Linked DNA regions of Ovis aries. The protein of the gene in region 1 purifies or fractionates together with the protein of each later gene. This does not show direct contact. Links are inferred from orthologs where the notes say so. Each region holds a gene or a part of one and is shown in the gene's direction. Other genes may lie near its edges.

Region 1 (4,536 bases):
AAGGACAGATAAGTCAAAGAGAAAAGAGGTTGTTGGTTATTAAGCAGGTTGGTGGGAAGACTTTGGGTCTGAGCTAAATTTGCTCAAACTCTGCAATACCATAACATCACTGATACATTTTCAACACAGGAATTTTTGGAGCAATGACTTTTGTCTTTTGTCTATTTAGTGTCTTAATGATTCATGGAAATATATATATATATATATGTATATACACATTTATATATGAGCCCTTTATTAGTCACATTGATACATATTTCAAATGTTTTCTCCTATTTGCTGACTTAACTCCTTCATCTCTTTATAGTGTCTTTTGATGCAGAGATGACTTTTTAATAGGTGACAATTTTTGCCAGCAGTATTACTTAATAATGGAAACAGTTTCAAACCTCCTTTTTCAAAATGCTCTCTTTATTGCACAAGTTTCTTTCAAAAAGCAGTTCTCACTCATTTTTGAAACACAGCTTTTACTCTAGGGCCATAGGAAAATGTATACATTAAAAAGTTGTTTTGTTGTTAGCATTGCTAACAACAGCCACTTATCACCAGAAAGGTTTATAAAATTTTTAATGTCTTTTTTCAAATAAACCTATAAAACTCTCCTTTTGTCAGACAGTACTTTGCTACAAGATATCAGGGAACCAATGTTTTCACGAAATAAAAATTTAACACATTGCTGAGATCTTCCAGCATGTAAACTGCAATATTTTGAAATATGCTGACAGTCAGTTAACCCAGGATAGGTTGTGGTGCAAACTGAGGGCTTGGTGTCAATTCCTACATAAGATGAGGGCAAAAATTCATTTCTTTCATTTTTACCATATCAAAGATGCTGAAATAACCTTTGATATAAATTGATAGAATTAGAAGCTCCCATATTCTCTATTTGTTTCTGACAGAGACTGATCATCTTACATAACACTTGAGTACAAGCTCCCATTTTGGAGACCGAAAAGTTAGAGATAAACAGACACGTTGAAATTGACAGTTGGAACAATTAATATTAACTGTTTTATTGTTTGCATATTAATCAATTGAATGGATTTTAACAGGTCCATTAATTATTAATAGAAGGCAGATCTCTTTAAATGCTCTAGTCACTAAGCAGATACTAAGGTTTCAATAAATAATTGATCTGATCTTGATTTTGGCCTAAGGGAAAATGGGAGAGACGAATTTCTACTTTGTAGAAGTGGGAGAAGAAACACAATGACTTTCAGAGAGTCTAGGTCCTAAGATGCTGGGAGAAGAAAGAGAGGAAGGAAAAAGTGTTGAAGTAAGTATACTTTCTTTGCCCCTTTAGTGGGCAGCCTAAACGCAAATTCTGTAATGCATCGAGACAGACCTGTTAACGGTCGTAGTGTGACTGTACAAGAGGGCGAGAACTCGTGTAGAAACGAAGTGTTTCAAATCCAAAACTGCTCTACAGGTACACGCTCCCCGAGCCGCTAGCTCCTTAGGAAGTCTCAGCGGGGACAGCAGCCTGGGTCTCTGCACCTGGACCCGGCCGCCGCGGCCACGCCCCCAGAGGCGGGGCGGGCTCTCTTCGTAGCCCCGCCCCTCCCCGCCCTCCCGCAACTCCCCAGACGCCTGCGGCGACGGCTGAGACACCGGAAGGAGCGGTAGCTGCTGCGGGAAGTGGCGGGTGCGGGAGGCGGGGAGCCCGCGGGCTAAGCTGCGGAGCTGTTTTCCGGCGCCCAGGACGTGACGCCTCCCATCTCCTAGGTCAGGAGAAGAAAAGAGGAGTTGGTGAAGGTGCGGCCACAGGCCACCGTTGGCCGCGCTGGCGGGGCCCGTGGGGAAGGCCTTGGAGGTGAGCGCGACGCTGCTGGGAGGGGCTCAGGGCCGAAAGGCGCCCGCCTGCAGCCAGGGGCCGATCTGTGTTCTCGCTGCCGCGCACCGGAGCTGTGGCTGCTGTAGCGGCCTCTTTTTCTTGATTCCGGATGGTGGTGAGCGCGCGTGTGGGTAGAAGGCCTAGACCCCTCCAGTGCTTTGCGCTGATGATTGGTGGCCGGCCCGGTAGGGGTCGGCGGAGGACGCGAGTCAGTCGTACATTTGAGGAAGGGTGCCCAGGGGGCGCTTCCCTGGAAGGCAGGAGGGGTGAGGGGAGTCCCTGAGAAGGTCTCCGCTCCTTCCTCGGTCCGCATTCCAGCTTGCCAGCCCGGCACGGTGGGCGCGGAAGACTGGAAGCCCCGCAGCGCGCTGGCTCCGGGGTTCTGGTTTCGCTTTGCGGCGCAGTTGGGGTGATCGGACCCATTCGTGCAGCCCCAGGGGCTCCGTTATTCTTTGTTGTCAGCGGGAAAACCTAGGCGTCGTCGTCCCTGGAATTTTTCTTCGGTGAATATTTAATCCGACTGTTTTCAGAGGTTACGGTAGCCCTTGCGGTCTGTCCATCCGCAGCTTTTGTTTGAGTCAGTTTCCATGGTGTGTGGTTTCCCAGACCTTTACTCTTACATATTTACCCACTATAAAATGCTCTTCTTTTGAATGATTGTTAGGTGACTCTGGTGCTTTACACAAGTATTTTTAGGGTTTACGGTTTCATATAATCAATATAAGGCCAGGAAAATTGGGACAGTGGTGACAACACCGGCAGGCGCGTAGGCTCTGAACTGACGCTGAATTTTACCACAAGGATCTCTAGACTTCTTGCTTAATAGATGTATAGAATTGTAGAATTTTTTAGTTTGATCAGATTATTTTTCTTTTAAGGAAAATCTCTTTCAAAATATAATGAGGCTGTCCTAGTTCGTTTCTGGTTGAAGCAAATGTATCATCTGGAAAGGTCTGACCAAAGCAAATAATAAGCTATTTGGTCTGAACATAATATGAATATTGTTAGTGAATTCATGCTGTTAATATAAACATGAGGGAAAATGGGAATCTTATTGAAATGCTAATCTTAAGAAAAAGTATTAGGAATGAATTGTACTACACCAGGGGCTTTATATTACTTTACTTTGGCAGGATTTTAAAAAAATGGACAGTACAAGAAATATTCCAGAAATAAATTATTTGACCTCTTGCCATATGCAAGAGAGATTGTCTGCTTAACATTGCTTCTTATGGGTTTAGAGCCAGCTTTCACTTTTTTGTCTTTTGTGATTCTTTATAACCTATTTGAAACCAAAAACGTAAATGCATTCAATGGCATTAGATTGTAGTAGATAAATTATTTTAATCGTTTGAAATGCAACGTTGAGGATATAATTTTAAGGTTTATGTATTGCTGTTATAATCTTCAGTGACTTTTCAAATATACAATCTTATTTGATCCTCATGCCTGTTCACTGAGTTAGGAATTCCAAGAAGTAAAGCCTTTTCCCACAACAGAGACATTTTGAGATTGTGGAAGGATTAGAATTTCTCTAAAGCCTGAAATAATCTTGCTGAAATAACCTTTGATATAAATTGGAATTCAGCTAGATTTTGGAGCACAGTGAACTGTAACATGTGACAGACTGTGGACTCTTAAAGGAAATGAAGAGCATAAATGGTGAAAGATTTTTGGGGAGAACTGTGAAATGTAGTCATGTCTAAAAAATAAAGGGATAAATAGCAGCTTTTTTTAGTGTAGATTTTTTGTTTGACTTTTTTTTTTTTTTTTTAATTTGGCTGCGCTGGGTCTTAGTTGTGACAAGTGGCATCTAGTTGCCTGGCCAGAGATCAGACTCAGGAGCTCGGAGTCTTAACCACTGGACCACAGCGAAGTCCCTCATACAGTTTTTAAACTTTTCAAGTCTGCATGCAATTTCAGGAGCATTTTGATAAGTAGCTGCAAAGAGAATGAGATGAATATAGTTGGTTTGTCTATAAAAAGCATGAATTTTTTACAATATAGTGTGTGTGTGAGCATGTGTGTATCAGGAGAACTAATACTTAAGAAACAATGCATATGTCAAAATAACTATTCTTTTCAAAAGTTACTTTAGAACGCCAAGTAGGTCAGTTTCTGTGGGTCTATCACGGAAAGCCCTCTGGAAAATAAAAAGAGTGAAACATGGTTTCAGCCCTTAGAGTCAGGTTTGTAGTCAGGCTTGGGTAATTTTTTATACAACTATGGTAAGGTTGTGTATGGTATTATGGTATTACAATCAGGTATTTATGGTATTATAATCATATAATCATGCTATGGTATTATAATCAGGAATTCAGATGAAGAAGACATTACTTGTGATTGAATCTTGATAGAGATGATATTTGACGTGTGCAGGATTTTCAACCGGAGGACATTTCTAATGAACAGATTATCGCGTTCCTGGGAAGGTACAACTTATATTTGAGAATTTGGCTGATAATAAGTTATGGTTTATATAAGCTAGTAGTAAGAGATGAAAAAGACAAATTTCAAAAGCCTTCATTGAAGATGTTTTGTTAGAAGAGGTGTGTGTTTCAGGCTTCCCAGGTGGTGCTAGTGGTAAAAAAAAAAAGCCCTGCCAATACAGAAGACAGAAGAGATGAAGGTTCGATCCCTGGAGGAGGGCATGGCAACCAACTCCAGTATTCTTGCCTGGAAAATCCCATGGACAGAGGAAC
Region 2 (3,823 bases), about 93 Mb from region 1:
CTTACTGTGAAGGTTCCTTTATCTAAGTAAAGAGCTTGTTCCATTTTTTAATGAAATTGTGAGAAGAATTTAATGGGTTTTTTAATGGGTCAAAAACTAAGAAATGCAAACTCTCTTAACTCGAGTATTCTGTAAGCTATTAAAATACTGAAAAATACAAGTATCCACCTTTTTAGAATCTTCCCTGGTGGCTCAGAGCTTGAAGCGTCTGCCTCCAATGCGGGAGACCTGGGTTCAATCCCTGGGTCGGGAAGATCCCCTGGAGAAGGAAATGGCAATCCACTCCAGTATTCTTGCCTGGAGAATCCCATGGATGGAGAAGCCTAGTAGGTTACAGTCCACAGGGTCGCAAAGAGTCGGACACGACTGAGCAACTTCACCTCACCTCACCTCACCTCACCTTTTTAGAGTCCTTGTTTGGTTTTTAGTCTATGACTGAAGAAGCAGTAAAGCATTAGAAACTACAGTGTTTTAAGTCTCTGCCTGTTTACAGTGTAATGGCTATATAAACTGAGGTGTGTCCCAGAACATTACATTTTACTTGCCTTGTCTATAAAATAAAAAGAATGATAATATCTTTCAGCATAATTGACCAAATTATTTGTAAGGATAATAAGATGAAGAATGGGTTGGAATACGGAATAGGCAATGTTATTTGCTACTTATATAACACTTGCTTTTATACGTGTTTTTTTTTCTTTAGGCCAGGACTTCTCAACATCAGTGAACCTGCCACACAGCCATGGCTGGCAGACACATGGCCTAACACTGGGAACAATCACAACGACTGCTCCATCAATTGCTGCACGGCAGGCAATGGGAACAGTGACAGCAACTTGACCACGTATAGTCGCCCAGGTTAGAGGCACAGAGATAGCTTGATACACAAGCTCGGCATTGTTAGGAACAGGCCATGAGGCGATAACTTCCCTTTTCTTCTCCCTAAGTTGGAAAGGAAATTTAATCAATATGTTCATGAAATATTAACCACTGTTTAGCAAATTAGCCTGATTCAAGTTATGTTCTCCATCCTTAGATCTCCACACCTCACTCTGCACCCAAAAATGTTTCCCAATATATGAAGGGAGAATGGAGGATATAAATTCTAGAATAAATAGCAAATAAGGAAAAATGAAATTCTGTAGAAGTAGTTATCCTCATAAAAATGTGTGTAATTATATTTTTAGTAGATTGTAGTTATTTAGAGTATTTATTTTAAAGATTTTGAGGGCAAAGCAAATCAAAAGACCAACCAACAAATATATAGTCTGAGGGATCCAAATTTTTAATGGCAGTAACAACAGCAATAAGAATAATTATATGGTGGCAAAAAATGATTTTAAATTAAAGCTAACTGAAATTCAAAAATGTTATTGTATAATAGTAAATTTTTGTAGGATACAAGAAATATATACCTTTTGCAGCTGTGTATGCTAATACTTGGAGAAGGCAATGGCAACCCACTCTAGTACTCTTGCCTGGAAAATCGCATGGACAGAGGAGCCTGGTAGGCTGCAGTCCATGGGGTCCCGAAGAGTCAAACACAACTGAGCGACTTCCCTTTCACTTTTCACTTTCATGCATTGGAGAAGGAAATGGCAACCCACTCCAGTGTTCTTGCCTGGAGAATCCCAGGGATGGCAGAGCCTGGTGGGCTGCCATCTATGGGGTTGCACAGAGTCGGGCACAACTGAAGTGACTTAGTAGTAGTAGTATGCTAATACTAATTGTGTCTTTGGGGTTCAGAAATATGTGTGGTGAATTACTTGATAATATTTCATGCTAAAACATGACAGTAAACTTTGGATGTAGAGTATGCAATATTTAAAAGAATAAAATTGTAAGTAATTCTTAAAAAAAAACCTTTCAGCACGCATTCACAATATAGGAAATATTAGAAGAGTCATGAAGAATCAAAATATATGACTATAAAAATAACCCATGGAATTAAGAAAAAGGAAAATAAAATATGGTGTTTAAGTAAAAATTATGATGTACCGTAAAGAACAAATTGTAGTCTCCACTGAATTTGGATATGAAAATGATGCAATCATGTGACCAAGTCCCTATTCTTCAGAGGTCGGTGTTCTAGTTATCTAGGCAGAGAAGTGCTCACATAATTATAAGTAAAAGAAAGATTATGCTGAGGCCAGTAAGAGAAGAAAGTGACAACATTTTTGTAAATTAATATGAAGAGCTGAGTTATCCAGCATGGTAGCCTCTGGCTTCAGGTGGCTATTTAAATAAAATATCATTTAAAATCCAGTTCCTCATATGCACTAGCCACATTCTGAGTACTCAGTAGCCACATGTGGCTATTGTATTAGAGAGTACAAAATAGAACATGTTCATCTCAGAAAGTTCTGTTGGATAGCACTCATATGGAAATACTGGCAAAGAAAAATGAGATTGCCAAAACTATATTGCCATTAAAAATATTTTAACAACTCTTACATGAAGCTTAATACCTAAAAATTAGAAATAAAATTACTAAAAGCCAGATTAATTAAATACCTCTGATCCCTGATCTTTTGTTGTTAAAATACAAGGTAATTGAATTCATTAGAGTAGAGAAGTTGCCAATTTTTCTTAAAACTATATTCATTTTTACATCTTCAGTAGTAGCCATATTAATTCATCAATTCTTACGATTTAGTCGAAAACTCATCCTCAAGGTGAACTTGTTAATGTTGCAGCCACTATGCATAAAATAGTGGTATTTTTACTATTATAATGTAACTAAATTTTTATTTAGTATTTTAGTTTTAAATGATGATTTTAGTTCTTCCTGCTATTTTAATATTTTCAAATGCAGATCTTAAGTATTTCTGTCTCTTAAATTAGAGTGAAATTGAAATATTAGACAGATTATTACAGGTGTTATTTGATTAAATTGCCCTGGGTACTATGATTCATTTGGCCATCATTATTGTCATTTTATATATCTTGAGGTATCATTATGAAACCATACAAAATGACTATATAATAGCTTTTCTTGATAATTATTATCTTGCGTGACCAAAGGAAAAAACTAATAAAATTCTCCTGAGTATTGTTTACTATCACTTTACCTCTGTTCCTCATTTTTTTGAATAGAGGTATTTTGTACAATATTGAAATCTCAAGTTATCTGATCTGAGGGCAGAGGTTTTTTGGGGGAGGGAGAAGGTCTGGACTAAACCTAGTAGCCTTGTTCTGTTGCTTTAACAGCTAGCTCGTAACTTCAAATAGTTCAGTAATTCCAGATTAGAAAATATAAACTTGGCACATAAAGATATTCATGTATATATTCTCTTAGTGCCTTTCTCATTAATGTGATTGTTAAAGGAAAATTACTTAAATTGAGTTCATTATTTATAAACTACATAACACTAACTGAAGTTCAGAATTATTTAGTCTCCATATAAATTATATGTCCTCTCTTACTCCCTGAATTTTTTTTTTTTGAAAGAACATTTGATTCTGTTCTTTAGAAAGGACATGAGAATACATGGTCCTTTTTATTCATCGTATTTAAGCCCATTTATACTTTATATAACAATTTTACTGTGACTCGCAAAGCTTCTTACAAAGAAATTTAAAACGAATAACCATGCGGAATGACTTTTTCCTTTTCCTCTCCATTGCACGTAGCTGATTGTATAGCAAATTATAACAACCAACTGGATAACAAACAAACAAATCTGATGCTCCCTGAGTCAACTGTTTATGGTGATGTGGACCTTAGTAACAAAATCAATGAGATGAAAACCTTCAATAGCCCAAATCTGAAGGATGGGCGTTTTGTCAATCCATCAGGGCAGCCCACCCCTTATGCCACCAC

The links.
Region 2: the proteins of USP33 (region 1) and ROBO1 purify together in Homo sapiens (affinity purification with western blotting; 5 studies listed by BioGRID and IntAct, with this or other methods). This does not show direct contact. The link is inferred for Ovis aries from reciprocal best matches to the Homo sapiens genes USP33 and ROBO1.

What each region holds. Positions count from the first base shown.
Region 1 is NC_056054.1:54,221,695-54,226,230, reverse strand, and holds the start of USP33 (ubiquitin carboxyl-terminal hydrolase 33), read left to right. Parts: upstream 1-1,584; 5' UTR 1,585-1,813; intron 1,814-4,536. UniProt on the Homo sapiens protein: Deubiquitinating enzyme involved in various processes such as centrosome duplication, cellular migration and beta-2 adrenergic receptor/ADRB2 recycling.
Region 2 is NC_056054.1:147,042,267-147,046,089, reverse strand, and holds part of ROBO1 (roundabout homolog 1), read left to right. Parts: intron 1-703; coding exon 704-858; intron 859-3,633; coding exon 3,634-3,823. UniProt on the Homo sapiens protein: Receptor for SLIT1 and SLIT2 that mediates cellular responses to molecular guidance cues in cellular migration, including axonal navigation at the ventral midline of the neural tube and projection of axons to different regions during neuronal development.